Linked DNA regions of Arabidopsis thaliana. The protein of the gene in region 4 interacts with the protein of the main gene of each other region in a pairwise test. Each region holds a gene or a part of one and is shown on either strand. Other genes may lie near its edges. The genes, in order: RSL1, SEP2, RSL2 and AT1G68240.

Region 1 (4,163 bases), on a different chromosome or scaffold from region 4:
CTTTTTTTTTTTTTTTTTGGACAAAATATTACATACCCTATCTAAAAGTACAAAAATAGAACTATACCTCTAGGGTATACCCCTTGGTTAGGTACATATATAACATTCAAAACATACTTCGGCAAGGATACATCATACATATATACTATGTAACATTACTATTATTAGTTTATTTTTAACGAACAAAAGTGCAGAAATGGACGTAAGCTAAACAGTCACAACTGAAAAAATAAATTTAAAAGGGTTTTAAGGAGGATTTAAGTTTTAATTTCTAATGAAATAGTTGATTTTTTCGTTGCCTTACTGCATCGTATGTAGAAATATAGACATTCATAATAAATATTTTTTGTCTTTTAATTACTAAGAGGTTCGGATCTAGGTCTGTTTCTCGGGTAGGAAACCATAACATTTAATATAGTTTCCCCTTAAATGTTATTCGTATCAGTGACTTCTAAACTTTGCATAGATGTATTATCGATTAAGCTATTAACACTTAATTACATGCATAATATCTCAAAACTTAACAACACTTAGTTCAATTCATGAAAACATTTTATAAAAGATATCTTAAAGTAAAACTCAGAAACCAAACTTTTGCAACATCACATTACGCATACTTGGAGAATTACAAAACATACAAAAATAGAAACATACCTCCACATATATAACTATTACATATCTAATCTACTATAAGATTCCATGCTCGTGTGGACCGACGTCTGACATATCGTCGGTGACTTCAATGTGTTGGCTCTTACATAATTAAAGCCTTAAAGGAATCAATAACTTCTCGATCTGTAACGTCACCAATTAACTATTTTTTAAACCGAATTCAAAAGTGATGACTTGTTTGGTATTATAATTAATGCCGATACATTTAGTAACTAATTATTCTGCTATACTTTTTGTTTTGGTCGGAATTATTCTGCTATACTTGTTTCTCTAGTTGAGTTACTATCTCGTTGTGATGATGAGAGGATTGCGTCAATAGCTTCTTTAACTTGAGAAATGTCCGGAGCTTTCCCTCCTTGTGCCGGCCAAAACTCATCGGCTGCAAGTACCTATAAAAAGACATAGTTTTTTTGTTTATATCAATATACTTGAAAGACCCTACTTATATATGACATAGTATGATATATAGTTGACGGAATGTTTGTTAAGATTAATTACCTTAACTTGTACTTGAAGAAACTTTACATAGCCAATTGCTTTCTCAAGCATAGTTACCAAATCCACCTACATAAAAACCACCATAAAGATTTTAAAAAAAAAAATTAGTACAGAAAAATATTTATTACGCTCTAGGTTTGAAAAAAAAGGTTACGATAAAATTAAATTTCTTATACATTTATCATACCTTGGTACCATTCGGTACAAGTTCTTGCAATACCTTGAGGCGTTCGCTTATCCTTTCTCTTCGGTTCTATACAAGAAACATATTTTCGTATTGGTTAATTTATTGACAAAAGCACATATATATTTCTTAATTTCCTTGACTTAAATCCAAAAAGAGAACCCTGACAATAAATGTTGATGAATAGAAAAAACGCAAACCTTGGCTGCTAGGCTTTGTGGATCTTTAGGTGAAGTTGTTGCCTTAGGCTTGATCTTTCCATTCGTACCGCTACTCGGCTTCTTTGAAAGTTGTGTGTTCTCTCCCTATCGATCATTAGATGGTAAACTTTAAACATCTTTGATTGATCTAAATGATATATGAAAAAGACAAATCACAAATCTTAAATTTATAGTTACCGTGAAAGGCCGTTTATTGCCAGCCAGTTTAGGGGACGTGGACTCGTGCCTTGAACCGATGTTTACAATAGTTGAACCAGAGTATAACCAGTCTCCATTTCCATGGTTTGTGGCCGGTTTACTCATGGAGTTTGAAGTCAATCCAAAACTGCTCGTTGTTTCAAAGCTATTTGGAGTTTTGATGACTCTAGGGCTAATACTATCCACTTGATGATGACTCCAGCCATCATAGCTGTAACTCATGTTCCCGTCCACGACCGGGAAGGCACCACCGTTGGTCACGGGAGAGATAAGGCTTCGGTGATTATCAAAGGTGAAGAATGATGAAGCATTGAAATCCATCAAAGAATTATGATCTTCAATGGTTTCCCCGGAAGGGTAAAACACAAACCCTTGATTATTTTGATGATCAGAATTTATGGTGCTACTGCTTGAAGCTGAAGCTCCTTCGTCTAATCCGCAATTCTGTGGTGAAGAGAGATCTTCTGAAGAATTTGGGGTTGAGATGTAATTACGCTCATTGCAATGTTCGTTAATGAGTGACATTGGTACTAAAGGGTGTTCTAGTGAGATGTATGGGGTTTCTTTTTTATGTCTTTGGTTTTGCTTTGAGAGGTTAAGGAGATTTGAGAAATCGAAACAACGAAAAATGGTTTTAAGATTGTAGATTGGTAAGCAAAGAGAGACAATGTTTGTGTAGTTATGTTATCATAAAGGTTTATATAGGCGGTTCTTACTAATATTAAATGATGACATTTAGATGTAGTTTTATTTTTGTTTGTTATAATATTTTAAGAGAGGAAGCTGGCATGAGATCAAAATAGATATTGCTCGAGTCTATTAATTTTATCAGTCGAAGTCATTATGAATGTAGAGAGATTTAATCAATACACATGCAAGTACACTTTTTATAATTTAAAAGTAATTTTTTAACTAGCAAATTTGATTACCGTTTTAGAATAACTCTTTAGTTTACAAAAACATTCAACTTATTTTTATTTAGGAAAATAATCACTCAGTTTTTGAAGTGAAACTGCAAAGAAATGAACACCTCTAATAAGTCACCTTAATTCTCACTTCGTATCCATCTTATGAAATTATGTCTTTTCTCTACCACCATATATGAAATTATATATCTCTTCCTCTCCAATAAATGAATTAGGATATATTTCAACAATATAACTAATAAGACATCCATATTATGCTACAAATTAATCTAGAGAATGTACCTCCAAGATCATTCATGAAATATATAAACTCATTTATTTCAACTGTAAATATCCTAGAGTAAGAAATTAGATTATGTTTGGTCTTACGGGTGGAAAACATTATAAGAAAGGTTAAACTGAAATCAAAATTTATTATTAAGCATAAGAAAATTTGCATACTTGATTCGTTTAGTTTTTATTCTTCTATTTTTGATGACTACAATCTCTTCATAATCAAATTTAACAGAAGACACACAACAAAATTGCAAACCGATTAGACAGACCAAAACAAACACATGTGGCAGATGTTGGAGTGATATGTCACTTATAAGAAGAAAGTTTGCTAACTTTCATATATATGATTTTTCTTACTCTTTGCTTTTAAAAAAAAATATTTGAACGATTATATTGTGTGTTTTTTTAATGTGAACAATTATATTATTTTCGTGAGAGCTTTAACAATATAGATAAGGTGAAACGCCATAATTTTAAATTTAAACAAAAACTAAACCCTAAATCAAAAATACTAAACCCAAACCCAAGTTTTCAAATCTTAAAGTCTTCATTTTTTTTAAATTGTTTTTTTGTGTTTTTGTGGTATTTTTGAAATTTTAGAGATGATATGCTAAATTTGGAAATATTTGTGAGAATTGCCCTAAAAATGGTTTCGGTTTAGTTAAGTTGAATCAATTCGGGGGTGTAGGGTTTGTTTAAATCTACATAAAGCTGTCCGATCATAAATTAGGATACCTTTGTTATTTAAAAAAAATATATACATCATAAGCATGGATACAATTTTTAAGAAAATCATTTGTAAAGTATTTTAAATATTAATGGATGCTGATGTATGGAAGCAATTAATGAATGTGGTTCCAAGTTTATTAATTACAAATTACAATAATAATACTATTAGCTAATATGATCTCTCATTGGGATTGTTAGCTGGCAGTAGTGAAATTAATGGACTGGGAGACTTTGTAAAACATAAATAAATGAGACCCCTAAATAAATCTACAAAGATAGAAAAATTAAAGAAATTTGAGCTTGAAATAACTAAAGAAGCAAAAGCATCGCCGTATCTTCCGCTAATCTTCACGTCGTTTTTATTCTCATTTTAGTGTATTCGATAAAGACTATATTTTTCCACTTCATTTTCTATTCTGAAGAAGAAACGAACTCAAATCTCGCAATCTTTTTTATTTG
Region 2 (5,004 bases), on a different chromosome or scaffold from region 4:
TATATACTAATAAACACGATTGATTAAAAATTTACTATACAGTATATCCAAAACATTATGATTGAGAGTGTACATATACAATAAGTAATTAAACCTCAAAACCAAACAGTTTTTTTTTTTTTTGGTCAACAATAATTAGAAATGAGAATAAACTATTTAACTTATAAATTCTAGACCCAAAAACTCATATTTTACCCTTCTTGGTCTCACCTAAAAAGACTTTAATTCCCAAAACTCTTGCAAACAATGGCCAAACATAGAAGATTGGAAAACAAATTTAAATCTACTTTCACTTTTATAAAGAATAATCAACGAACCAATTAAGTTAAACCTACATATATTCGTATGTGATCACATATGTGTTATATTCCTCACGTTCTCTTCCATTTAGCTAATAACCTTAATTACTTCAAGAAATCATATATCAACCGAAAACTAGTAAAATAAATATACATACTGAAAGCGCGCAAAATTTTTAGCAATATTTTAAAATACCCTACATCATAGTCTTAACTAATTAATCTTTCTGATCAAAATTTATTTTCATAATATTCATAAATACTTATGGATTACCTAAACCAGGATACTTATCCCTATAAATCTGTCAATCATCATGGATTCATGGAGACATGGTCAGATATCCCACGTCCAGATACAATGTAACATATTGATATACTGCGGCTGATTATTATTTTTTACATTAGAACGAGTTTAGATCCAAAACAAAATTGGTATTCTCAAACAAAAATTAAAAATTGAATACGAAAGTAATAGAACAAAACTTCAATGTTGTCGAATAGATAGGAAGCAATAGAAAAGCGACACGTACATGTCCATTTTAAGGTAGGAGAGGCTTTTCTGCGGCTTGTGAAGTAAGAAAAAGAAAATGATGATAGCTGCTTTCGTTTCATTCATTGCAGAAGAAACCAATGTTTCCCCAATCTCACGCGCCTCCTCCTATCTACCACCACTTGGACAAATCCCCTTTTCAGTATTAGTTTTTTTTTCCGGACATTGTACATTCAAAAGCATTCCAAGTGTCTAATAAACATAACTAACCACTCCAAGATGCAAAATCTAGCTACGAACAAATTTTAAACTATAGAGATGAACTTTAAATTCGGGCATTAATTAGTGGAACTTGAGCTATTGATGAGTTTTCTGACTTTTTGAAGCTTAATTGAGTTTTATATACACTATATATAGGCTTGTAATAATATGGATCAAACAAGAAATATATAAACTACAAATTGGGAATTAGGTTTTAAAACGTTATCGTTCTATTTTAATTCAGGCACCTTTAGAATATCAAGATCCATGCATGTTTCAATATTTCTGTTGACAAATAAATAAAGATGTCTCAAATATGAAGTTTGGGCAACGTACGTGTAGACCTAAAAGAGTCGAAACATTGGTATCTAAGTCATATATCTAGATGTATATGGACATGGATTATATAACTAGACAACGTTTGTTTTAAAAACTTAATTCATTTTTCTTAATTAGTAGCAACTAGCAACTAACTACTCATGGCAAATAATGGTGTCTGCGTGGCACGCACTTGGGAGAGAAGGTGTGAGAATGTTTTTTACTTTCTGTGTAAAAGATGGAAGAGAGAGAAAGAGTAAAGAAGTAGAGAGAGAGATATTGTATCACCAAACCCTAATGATCTCTCACCCTCACAAATTTTCTTATCTTTATAGCTTTTATAGATTCACAAAAACTTTTCTTCAGATTCACAATCTCATCACAACCCTTCAAAAAGAGAAAAGATCTAAAGAATAAACAAGAGCCCTAATATCAAATCACAACCAAAAAAACCAAAGAAAGCTAATTAAAGTTTTCTCTCTAGCTATTCCTCTTCTTTTCTTGTTCTTGAAAACTAGGGTTTACTTCACCAAAAGATAAGATCTTTCCCCAGAAAAAGCAATACCCAAGTCATGTTTCTGTGTGTCTGTATATAGATAAAACATTACATACCCTAATAAGGTTACACAAATAGCTATAAAAGAGGGAAAATAAGATAGGGATTTTTTGGGGTGAGGAAAGATGGGAAGAGGAAGAGTAGAGCTCAAGAGGATAGAGAACAAAATCAACAGACAAGTGACGTTTGCTAAACGTAGAAATGGTTTGCTGAAAAAAGCTTATGAGCTTTCTGTTCTCTGCGATGCTGAAGTCTCTCTCATCGTCTTCTCCAACCGTGGCAAGCTCTACGAGTTCTGCAGCACCTCCAAGTACTTCTCTTTCTTTATACACTTATTAGATCTGTGTGTAGATCTTTCATTTTTCTAGTCTTGTGATGAGTTTTATCTTTCTTGATTGCTTTTTAACAAAATACTTGATATATTTTCAGTTTCTTAATCTGATCTCTAATTAGGTTTTGATTATAGAAGAATAATTCAGTACTTTCAAGTGATTGAATTTCGAGATCTGATCTTAATTTAATCATCATGTCAAATTCTTAGGGATTTAATTGCAATCTATTTTTAGATTTATCGGAGCTAGGAAAGTATCATAATGATATACTATTATTATCATGTAATTTCATTGTCTCTACACGGATATATATGTGATTAGAACTTGGTAAAGTAAACTAAAGATTCACAGTCTTCAATGAAATTTAAAAGATCCAACGTAGAATAATTAGTGGTTCCATGCATTAACCAGTCTAATTAAAGCTCATGCAGACATTTAAGCACCACATGAATTTAATATCTTTTTAATTAAGGGATCTTCTTTTTATAAATTTTCTTTTGTTAGTTTTTAAAATTTTAGTTTGTTCATTAAATTTATAGATTCTTCTTCTCCTGATTTGTGTTTTTTGATCTTTCAGCATGCTCAAGACACTGGAAAGGTATCAGAAGTGTAGCTATGGCTCCATTGAAGTCAACAACAAACCTGCTAAAGAGCTTGAGGTTTAATCTCCAACATCTCTTCGATCTTAATTATTTATCCTTTTTTAATTTTATCTAAAGAAAATGTTTGATTTTGAGACAAAAGCCCTTCAAAGTTTCTTACATAGATATTCAATTGTCTATTATCTTCGCAATTTTCAGAACAGCTACAGAGAGTACTTGAAGCTGAAAGGTAGATATGAAAATCTGCAACGTCAGCAGAGGTATATACATTAATGTGGATGATGATCATTTATAAACAGCATATATATATATATATATATATATATATATAGTTTGTATTGATCATGAAAGTGTGTTGCTGCAGAAATCTTCTTGGAGAGGATCTTGGACCTCTGAATTCAAAGGAGCTAGAGCAGCTTGAGCGTCAACTAGACGGCTCTCTGAAGCAAGTTCGCTGCATCAAGGTGATTTACTTCTGTACATACACTGAAAGATTCACACAAATCTTTCTCTATATATAGACTGAGACACATGCATGAAATGTTTTTGATGCGTGAGGTTATCTGAAAATGCCTCTTCTTTTTTGCAGACACAGTATATGCTTGACCAGCTCTCTGATCTTCAAGGTAAGGAGCATATCTTGCTTGATGCCAACAGAGCTTTGTCAATGAAGGTATATGATGATGTTTCTCTCTCTCTCCTCCAGTTTCTATTTATAGATGGAAACTTTAAATAGTCCAATTTATATATATGAGTCTAAATTTCACATTCTTCAACTGCTACATGTTTCTTTTGTATTATTTCTATGATATCTTCAGGAAAGTTTGAAAAATATTGTGTTTTGTTTAGCTGGAAGATATGATCGGCGTGAGACATCACCATATAGGAGGAGGATGGGAAGGTGGTGATCAACAGAATATTGCCTATGGACATCCTCAGGCTCATTCTCAGGGACTATACCAATCTCTTGAATGTGATCCCACTTTGCAAATTGGGTAAATCAAACAACTTTTCTTGCCTTAAGACATCAACTTAGGTTATAAACAGTTAGCAGTTTGCTTTAAGCCCAACATTGTCTTTGTTTCATAGAGGCTTTGGTTAAAACTCGTGTTGTTTAGTCTAAGGATTCAGCACTTTGATGTCTGAAGTATGGAAAATCAATATCTCAGACTTGAAAATGTGGGTTTCTATTGTTGACTTCGAAACTATGTTGTTGTGGTGTTGCAAACAGATATAGCCATCCAGTGTGCTCAGAGCAAATGGCTGTGACGGTGCAAGGTCAGTCCCAACAAGGAAACGGCTACATCCCTGGCTGGATGCTGTGAGCGATACTTCTTCCCCCAATAAAGATCTTAAGCAAGTACTGGTGGGGTCTTCGTGGTGTGATCTTAGATCTTATGCATATGAATAATAATGTTATTGCACAAGACTTTTGCTTTTGTAGACACAAGTGGCTATAGCTGTAATAGCCTTCAACATCTCTCTTCTGTTTCAGGATTTGTTTGTGCCTATTGTAATTGCTTATATATGTATGGTTTGTATAATGTGTGAAATGTTAACATCGACCATGTCTCATCTGGTGAAGTACTTATCCTGTCTATGCATGATACAAAAAGACGTGGTTAGATGCTAACCGCAATCGCAAACACAGCTTGTGACAAAGGCATATAAACTCTCAAGTTAACAGTGACATTCAACAGATCACAATGCCACCAAGATGTAGCTTTTATTTTCGATTCTAGTGTACAGAACATATAATTACAATATCTGGATCTTACAGAGGCAGGACAAGTAATGAAATCTGTCCTGAAAAGTTAAATGATACAGAGAGTTCTGCTGAAGAATGTAATTTCTGGTTTGCTACATTCTTCAATTTCTCAATAATATAGGACCAATTGTAATAACTTCCAACAATACTAAATTGTTTCGGAGTTTGGGGATTGTGCTTTTTAATATACTTCTTCCCCATTAGTAAAGTCCCCATCAAGTAACTGCTCCCTGAAACACATCAAGTCGCATTGTTTAGCTTTACTTGACTTGGATTCTTTCTAAGTTTCAAAGTTTAAGGGGTAATGAAGAAGTTTGTCCAAGAACTTCAACTTTGCTTACCTCAGTCTTTCGCAGAGGCGGGCTAAAGCTTCGGATC
Region 3 (4,317 bases), on a different chromosome or scaffold from region 4:
TCCCATTTCACATCCCTTTCTCTCTCTCTTTCATTCTCATGAACTCTTTATTTTCTGCTACACAGTTATTTTATCCATGGAACTTGACAACTTAAGCAACCAAAGACTTCGCGATTCTTATTTTAATATAAAATAACTACTAAGTTGTCAAGGGCGTTAGAGGAAGAGCTTTTGTGTTCTTAGTTTCGTAAATTAGATGGTTAATTTTTAAATGTTTCATCAAAAACACAATATCAAAAGAAAATAATAATAAATTTAAACAATATATGTAGATTAAAACTTCAAATCACAAAATAGATGGGAAAAAACCGGCCGGTTTTTGGGTCACTACAAGTTGGCGTTTTTCAAAGTATAGGCTTGATTTGTCATTTGTTTCTAATTTCGCATCAACTTGACCTAAAAGTGAATTACGCTTAATGTCGAAATATTCCATTCCTTAGTTTATTTCGGTTTTGATATAATAATTACAACTAAAAATTAGGATAATCCAAGTATTGTCATAATACACAAACTGACAAACGCAATAATTTTCTCTCGTAAGTCGTCGTACCTCTTTAATCCGTTATTGATTGGTTCAAGGTTAGATTTTTACATGATTTAATCATCGAATAGACGAGAAATATGTCTAGCCGTCTAGGTCCATAGAGTATGCATCATTTTGTAATCTATTTTAATCACATTAGCACATAAATCTAGTCAGTGCATATTCGAAAAAAAACACAGCTGACAACAAATATAGAAATTGAAAAAAAATGTAAAAGTAGAAAGAGACAATGTACATAAATCTATATCTTTGTGTTTGTGTTGTATAGGTATTCAGTATTCTAGTTAGATAATTTCTCTTTAGAAGTCGTATAGCATATGGATATGCTTCTATCTAAATATAATATATTTGAAATTTGTAAGGATTTTGGATAAGTTTTGATTTTTTTTTCTAGTCAGCGGGTGAGTGGGAAAATATCATTCTTTCTACTCAGACCCAATAGTTTCTCGATTGTTTGTTACTTTGTAAAGTAAAAAATGCTTAATACTTTAATGCGTTGTATAATTATGCAGAATTTTAGTTTAAGCTATAAATTATAATACACTTATAGCTAATCAATATATAGGAATATTCTTACTATATGTAGAATATTGGAGAATTTTTTTTTTTACTATTAAAATAAAAATAAGTCTTGCTTATATCATGGCAGGTTGAACTATATGGGGACCTAACTACATGTCATTAGGGGAAAAACATTCATATCATAGGTATCATATGACGTTATGATATGAAGTTTTTTTTAAGGTGGATCAACACTTGTGAATTGTATTTACTCGATACTCAACATCAAAACTCGCGATCTCAACGGATTGGCGCAATTAGAAAGCAGTTTATGGGGTCTAACCGTAAGTTCAGTGTTCCCAAGAATTTGAATCATAGTTGTGTGCAAAAAAACTCATTAATATAAACTATACGTTCATGAGTTTTTAACACATCTACTATTTCATCGAGTGAGTTTGCAAAAAACACTTTTGCTAAGAAATCTGTTTATCTCTTATTACTCGGATGCTAACGAAACATGGAAGTCGATAAAATTATAATGAGCTAAGCTAAGAGCTCTTCCAATTTTGATCCTAAATATGCAGTGAATACGGCCACCACAATCATTTCTCATATGAACTAGTATATCAACCAACTATAATCTTGTTTTTAACTTAAAACGATGTATTTAACATATATAAGTGAAGCCATTAACAAGCAGAAATGCAGAATCATAAACGACAAACGACAAATATATATTAAACTTAATGTTCGATGACCAAGTTGCAGAGAGCCCACCATAATTAGCTGTCCATATCTAATGGTATCCCAGACTTGGTTATTTACAAATTAATTAGAAAGATGATTAACTAGTGTCATTATGTGTTGACATTTATTTATCCACTATCTCTCATGTTCTCTATATATACATTCCAACTCCTCTTCCTCATTCCCTCACTTCTCACAAGACTTCCAACTAACAATCTTCTTAATTAAGATTAATCTCTTAATTAAGACGCTTAGTTAACAAAACATATAAAAATGGAAGCCATGGGAGAATGGAGCAACAACCTCGGAGGAATGTACACTTATGCAACCGAGGAAGCCGATTTCATGAACCAGCTTCTCGCCTCTTATGATCATCCTGGCACCGGCTCATCCTCCGGCGCAGCAGCCAGTGGTGACCACCAAGGCTTGTATTGGAACCTTGGTTCTCATCACAACCACCTTAGCCTCGTGTCTGAAGCCGGTAGCTTCTGTTTCTCTCAAGAGAGCAGCAGCTACAGCGCTGGGAACAGCGGATATTACACCGTTGTTCCACCCACGGTTGAAGAGAACCAAAATGAGACAATGGACTTTGGGATGGAAGATGTGACCATCAATACAAACTCATACCTTGTTGGTGAGGAGACAAGTGAGTGTGACGTTGAGAAATACTCTTCTGGAAAGACTCTTATGCCTTTGGAAACCGTAGTGGAGAACCACGATGACGAGGAAAGCTTGTTGCAATCTGAGATCTCTGTGACTACTACAAAATCTCTCACCGGCTCCAAAAAGAGATCCCGTGCCACATCTACTGATGTAAGTCTTTAATTTTCGAACTGGTTGGCAATTAGCTAGAGAGATCACATTTGGTTTAGTGACTAATATAGAAACGGTTTGCCATGGACTCAGAAAAACAAGAGAGCAAGAGTGAATAAGAGGGCCCAGAAGAACGTAGAGATGAGTGGGGATAACAATGAAGGAGAAGAGGAAGAAGGAGAGACGAAGTTGAAGAAAAGAAAGAATGGGGCAATGATGAGTAGACAGAACTCAAGCACCACTTTCTGTACGGAGGAAGAATCAAACTGCGCTGATCAAGACGGTGGAGGAGAAGACTCATCCTCTAAGGAAGATGATCCCTCAAAGGCCCTCAACCTCAATGGTAAAACAAGAGCCAGTCGTGGTGCAGCCACCGATCCTCAAAGCCTCTATGCAAGGGTAAATTGCTTTGTTTGTTTCCCACAAAAAAGATAAAATATCAAATTTTTATGGAAGATTATGTTTCAAAAAATTAATTTGGTTTTTTATTATTTTTTTGTCGTGCAGAAAAGAAGAGAAAGGATTAACGAGAGACTAAGGATTTTACAAAATCTCGTCCCCAATGGAACAAAGGTAAAAAAAAAAACTCATGCAAACGTTTAAACATGCAGAAGATATGGCTCTTTTACATGCAAATTCATTAATTATACAAGAAATTGTTAATAAAGATTCTAAACATTTACAATTGCTTAAATACGTAACAGGTCGATATTAGTACAATGCTTGAGGAAGCAGTTCATTACGTCAAATTTTTGCAGCTCCAAATTAAGGTAAGCAAGGGTTTTAAATACAAATCGTTTTTTTTTTGTACGTTCAATTGTTATATGAATATGATCTAACTAATATTTTAAAATATAATTACGCAGTTATTGAGCTCTGATGATCTATGGATGTATGCGCCGATTGCTTTCAATGGGATGGACATTGGTCTCAGCTCACCGAGATGAAGCAGAAAACTTGTGATTTTAGTTGGATATTTTCTCTTATATATAACCAAAAATGTAATATTCTTTTTCTTTTTTAATATTCTCCGCCTTCGGACGAGTTCGATTATAAATTCTCGTACGATGTTCAAATATGAGAGAAATGGAGAGTCACGTTCGATTTTTTTTATACTTTCATTTTCTTTTATATCACATATTTACATTTCAATTCTTATGTTTCATCTGTTCAATCGATAGTTTTAATACTTATCAGGATCATAAGATCTATACCTTAAACAGTTTACACTCAATCTGATCACCGTTTTATTTAATGATCAAGGGACATATATGATTATTTTTAATCTGATCACCGTTCGAAGAATACCTAATGAATGGAGAGTTATTATTATAATATTAAAATAAAAAATAAAAAATGAAGAGGTCTGACAAACGAATGAAGAAAGGTCTGACAAAAGAGGTAATAGTTGAAAATGTGAATGTGCTAATAATAACTTAACAAAGTAACTTCTATTTAAGAAATGTGAATGTACATCATTTTGGTTGAAATGTGTGTGATATTTAATATTTAGGCGGAATTTGTTTTCATTTTTTTTAGGCTTAATTAAAATGGTAAGTTCATTCCAAAGAAAATCCTTTTTCACTAGGAGTAAAACCCTATTTTACAAAATTAGTTGTGATGCGAAAAACAAATGCTCATCAATTAATCAATGCACTCATTTGTGAAGGATGAAATATCAAATATGACCACTTAAAAACTTCGGCCGCAAC
Region 4 (3,837 bases):
CAAAGCCGATGTAAACTACAAGATGCTGTAGTATATAAGACCAGTTCATGTTTTAGTATTAAAGACCGGTTCTCTCAAGTTCTTTAATAATATGGTTTGTTGTTTAATGTAAAGGAGTTGGTCTCCCAAGTTGTATTTGAAACTAGGAGTACTATGTGGCTTGCTCTTTGTTGTACGTTTTCGCACTGTTGTATAGTATACTGTAACGTTGTAACGTTTTACATTGTTTATCGTAAACAACTTATAGTATTTTGGTTGTTTAAATGCAATGTTTTCGTGTTTAGTTCTAGTGCGCAACATCATATATTAATTCACATTAATCACCAAGAAGAATCTAGCTATATTGTGAAACTAAGGATTGTTCCGAACATAAACAAAAAATGTGTTGAAATATATTATATTATATCTAAAATAAAATAAATAATATAAATATTATTATTTTGGCAAAAAAACTATATTAATATTGTTTTAAAGAAAAAAAACTTTGTAGCTAAAATGATAAACATATATAAGTGATTTTTTTTAACTTACATATCTCGTTAACGTTTTTTTGTTTTTTCGTTAACGTTTATAATTTGTAAGAAAGATTTAAAAATGAAATATTTTCATAAATATTTAAATATTAGATATTTGATCCGCGGTTTGGGCCTGTAGAGAATCTTAAATTCATTTTTTTTTTCTGTTTTTATTTTCAATCTTTGAGCAAAACAAATAGTTAATGATGTTATAGATTCAATTGTTTAACAAAAACTAACTTAAGAAATTAATTTAATTGAATGATTTTTTTTATAACTAAATTGAATGATATTGCAAATATCTATTTACAACATTAAATATATTTGTTACTATAATGATGTTAGTGTAAAAAATATATTCATTGTTGCACCCAAAACATTCATAATTAAATGTTAGTTTTAAACTTGGCAATCGAAATTTTATATTATTTTTCTTTCAAATCGCTCATATGATGGCAGGTTAACCAAATATGTTTTGCTTGTCCGTTTTTTTTTTCTATCTGTCTCCAATTGTTCAAATAATATATACGAGATATTGAAGAAATGGTTGAGAGAAAAAAATGAAATGGTTGAGAGAAAAAAATGAAATGGTTGAGGTTTATTTAAGAAGGAGAAGTAACGAGAGTGTGCATGTATCCACAAATAACCCAAATTAAAATAGTACATCTAGCTATAAAAAACGTCCCGTCTCAATGAAGTAATCAGACGACGGTCTTATGTATTTGGGTCGATGGCGAAGCTATTCGATAGAGAGTTCAAGATCTCTGATCAGCACATGTTTATATGAAAGATTTTGGTGCATGACTCCTTAAAATATGTATGAGTATTGAAGAGACACGTAACTCGATAAATATATGCAAACGTACGTTCTAAATATCACATCAGAAGCTAGCTTGCACAGTGTTACAAGCCGGTCAAAACAAATTTCTGACTAGAAACATTTTCTTGCCCTTGCATGGACATGTCCATGCATGTTGTTGATATAATAGAAAGTTTATCTTGTTCTCAATCAAAATAAATAATTCTTAAATATTGAAATATGTCATTTTTGTTCGAACTTGTAATAGGAGTTTTACAGTTCTCTTTTCCAACTAGATAATGTTTTTCCAATTTTAATGCAATTTGTTGTATCCATAGCTAGCTTGAGAAGAAAAATAAAATACTAAAGATTAAGAACTGCCGTTCATGAACAAGAATGACACTATTCCCCTGCCGTTCTTAGAATTTCAAGAAAGAGCAAGAAAGCAAATATAAGAAAACAACAAAAATATATGTTTTCTTCTGTCTAATGGATGTGCGTAAATGTGGAACACATAAATATAATAATATAATGGAAAATGAGTAAATAAATTGTTAGAGAAAACCATGGGACGAAGCAAAATCATCTTCTTTGCTTCCCGCTCAATTGTTGGAACTTTCAAAAGAAGCTTCTTGTATCTCCCCTATATATATATAGCTTATGGCTGAACTAACTAGTTTATCCTTAACCCTCCACTTTTCACTCTTTAACAAACTCAAAATCCTCAATTTAGTCAATCATCAATGGAGAGAAACAACCGCAACGAGGGGACTCACGAAGAAGAGCAATGTTCGCTTTCTGATATTATTTATTCGTTTTGTTCAGAAAATCATAGTGAATTAAACCCTTTGCAAGAGATATTCGGTGTTACCAAAAACAATGATCATGAGAAACACGACGAGGAGCCAGACGAGGAAAGTTACCGTATGGCTAAACGGCAACGTTCCATGGAATATCGTATGATGATGGAGAAGGTGAAGATGACTTAATCTCCTTCTTCTCTTACGTGATTCCCTAGCTAATTTATATTTTTGCTTTCTAAACTTTGTAGAAAAGACGAAAGGAGATCAAAGATAAAGTAGATATTTTGCAGGGGTTGATGCCTAATCATTGCACAAAGGTTAACTATTACTTAATTTACTCCATATTTTTTATATATTAGAGTCTAATACAATATCAAGTTTCGAATATCGAGTTTCTTGTGTGTTTATCTACAGCCGGACCTTGCATCGAAGCTTGAAAACATCATTGAATACATTAAAAGTTTGAAATATCAAGTAGATGTAAGCATTAAACTATATCTAATTTAATTTAGTTACTTGTATCCATTAGAGTATATATGTTCTTATGTGTTATGTGGATGTGGTCCAGGTTATGTCAATGGCATACACAACAACTCCGGTTTACACACCACCATTTTATGCAGCAGCTCAAGCACCATGTATGTCTCCTTGGGGCTATTATACGCCAGGAGTTCCAATGATGCCTCAGCAAAACATGACCTATATCCCGCAATATCCTCAGGTTTGATCAAATTAAAGTTTAATCTGATTCCACAGATTCTGATTTCTGCCATCAATCTTTTATCACAGGTATATGGAACAGTGCCGCCAAATCAAACTCAACCTTAAAACAAGCTCTAGCTATGTGGCTTTTTAAGACCCTCCGGCTTTAGACTCGTTGCTGTTTATATAGACTGTCTTTGTAAACTAAGATATGTACATAGATACATAAATACATACGTAGTTTTATGTATAACTTTTAGTTTGATGCCACAATATGTAAAAACACCTGTTTTTTATGTTCTGTTTTGGTTGAGCATTGTTCCTCTGTTATTTATGTTCTGTTTTGCTCAACCTTTTTCTTTGTTGAATGTAAGTTAAATAAACAACAAAGATGTTATGTTACGTGTAATAGTACGTTTGTACCAAACATTACTACAACCCTAGTTTGATAATTTTTATCTTGAATCATAGAAAACGAACTAGATCACTAAAATGTTAAATTCAAGAAGCAGAATACATTCATTGGCTACAAATTATCTACACACTTTAACTTTTTTTATTAAAGCAAGAAGCCAAAATAGTTTTATCTTTAAATGTTACTAAAGTAAACAAAAAATGCTTCCCGTTTAACCTCCACAACCACCACCGCAGCCAGCGGCGCAACTGGATCCATTGACATCGTCGTTAGTGTGAGGTTTAGAAGCTCGGTCACTGCATGAGAAAATCACGGCTGCTATGACGGAGAAAGCCACAACAGCTGCCCAAATGTAGAGTGAGACTTCACCATTACCCGCCGCTATTACCGCGAGTTCTCCTCTCACCATTGAAAGAGTTTTTGTGCATCGCTTTGTGACAATTGTTGAGACTAGTTGATAAAGAGAGTTGTAATTGGCATATTTTCAAATGTGTGGTTTTGCGTTTTCGAGTCAGAAGTCACCAAAAAAAAGATGCGACGACTCTTTCTTATATATACTGCCCTTTGGTTTAACTCTAGGGTCAGTGGATCACAAGCTAGTAG

What was found.
Region 1: the proteins of AT1G68240 (region 4) and RSL1 interact in a two-hybrid assay, tested with the Arabidopsis thaliana proteins (one large-scale study listed by BioGRID).
Region 2: the proteins of AT1G68240 (region 4) and SEP2 interact in a two-hybrid assay, tested with the Arabidopsis thaliana proteins (one large-scale study listed by BioGRID).
Region 3: the proteins of AT1G68240 (region 4) and RSL2 interact in a two-hybrid assay, tested with the Arabidopsis thaliana proteins (one large-scale study listed by BioGRID).

The regions. Positions count from the first base shown.
Region 1 is NC_003076.8:15,034,332-15,038,494, reverse strand, and holds RSL1 (RHD SIX-LIKE 1), read right to left. Parts: upstream 2,430-4,163; 5' UTR 2,299-2,429; coding exon 1,753-2,298; intron 1,660-1,752; coding exon 1,555-1,659; intron 1,424-1,554; coding exon 1,358-1,423; intron 1,237-1,357; coding exon 1,171-1,236; intron 1,062-1,170; coding exon 921-1,061; 3' UTR 611-920; downstream 1-610. UniProt on the Arabidopsis thaliana protein: Transcription factor that is specifically required for the development of root hairs. Acts with RHD6 to positively regulate root hair development. Acts downstream of genes that regulate epidermal pattern formation, such as GL2.
Region 2 is NC_003074.8:463,733-468,736, reverse strand, and holds SEP2 (K-box region and MADS-box transcription factor family protein), read left to right. Parts: upstream 1-1,585; 5' UTR 1,586-2,049; coding exon 2,050-2,234; intron 2,235-2,833; coding exon 2,834-2,915; intron 2,916-3,056; coding exon 3,057-3,118; intron 3,119-3,222; coding exon 3,223-3,322; intron 3,323-3,447; coding exon 3,448-3,531; intron 3,532-3,676; coding exon of another isoform or gene 3,677-3,707; coding exon 3,708-3,853; intron 3,854-4,089; coding exon 4,090-4,183; 3' UTR 4,184-4,458; downstream 4,459-5,004. Other genes in the region: AT3G02300 (Regulator of chromosome condensation (RCC1) family protein), read right to left, coding at 4,808-4,856, 4,968-5,004. UniProt on the Arabidopsis thaliana protein: Probable transcription factor. Functions with SEPALLATA1/AGL2 and SEPALLATA3/AGL9 to ensure proper development of petals, stamens and carpels and to prevent the indeterminate growth of the flower meristem.
Region 3 is NC_003075.7:16,238,801-16,243,117, reverse strand, and holds RSL2 (ROOT HAIR DEFECTIVE 6-LIKE 2), read left to right. Parts: upstream 1-1,948; 5' UTR 1,949-2,065; coding exon 2,066-2,605; intron 2,606-2,698; coding exon 2,699-3,004; intron 3,005-3,112; coding exon 3,113-3,178; intron 3,179-3,309; coding exon 3,310-3,375; intron 3,376-3,471; coding exon 3,472-3,552; 3' UTR 3,553-3,755; downstream 3,756-4,317. UniProt on the Arabidopsis thaliana protein: Transcription factor involved in the regulation of root hair elongation. Does not seem to be a direct transcriptional target of RHD6 and RSL1. Involved in the regulation of root hair elongation in response to low phosphate.
Region 4 is NC_003070.9:25,574,287-25,578,123, reverse strand, and holds AT1G68240 (basic helix-loop-helix (bHLH) DNA-binding superfamily protein), read left to right. Parts: upstream 1-1,994; 5' UTR 1,995-2,057; coding exon 2,058-2,288; intron 2,289-2,365; coding exon 2,366-2,434; intron 2,435-2,531; coding exon 2,532-2,597; intron 2,598-2,685; coding exon 2,686-2,838; coding exon of another isoform or gene 2,839-2,844; exon of another isoform or gene 2,845-2,906; coding exon 2,907-2,945; 3' UTR 2,946-3,260; downstream 3,261-3,837. Other genes in the region: AT1G68238 (uncharacterized protein), read right to left, coding at 3,446-3,643. UniProt on the Arabidopsis thaliana protein: Transcription factor involved in somatic embryogenesis. Acts as a positive regulator of somatic embryo formation. Acts as a positive regulator of ECP63 by targeting its promoter and inducing its expression.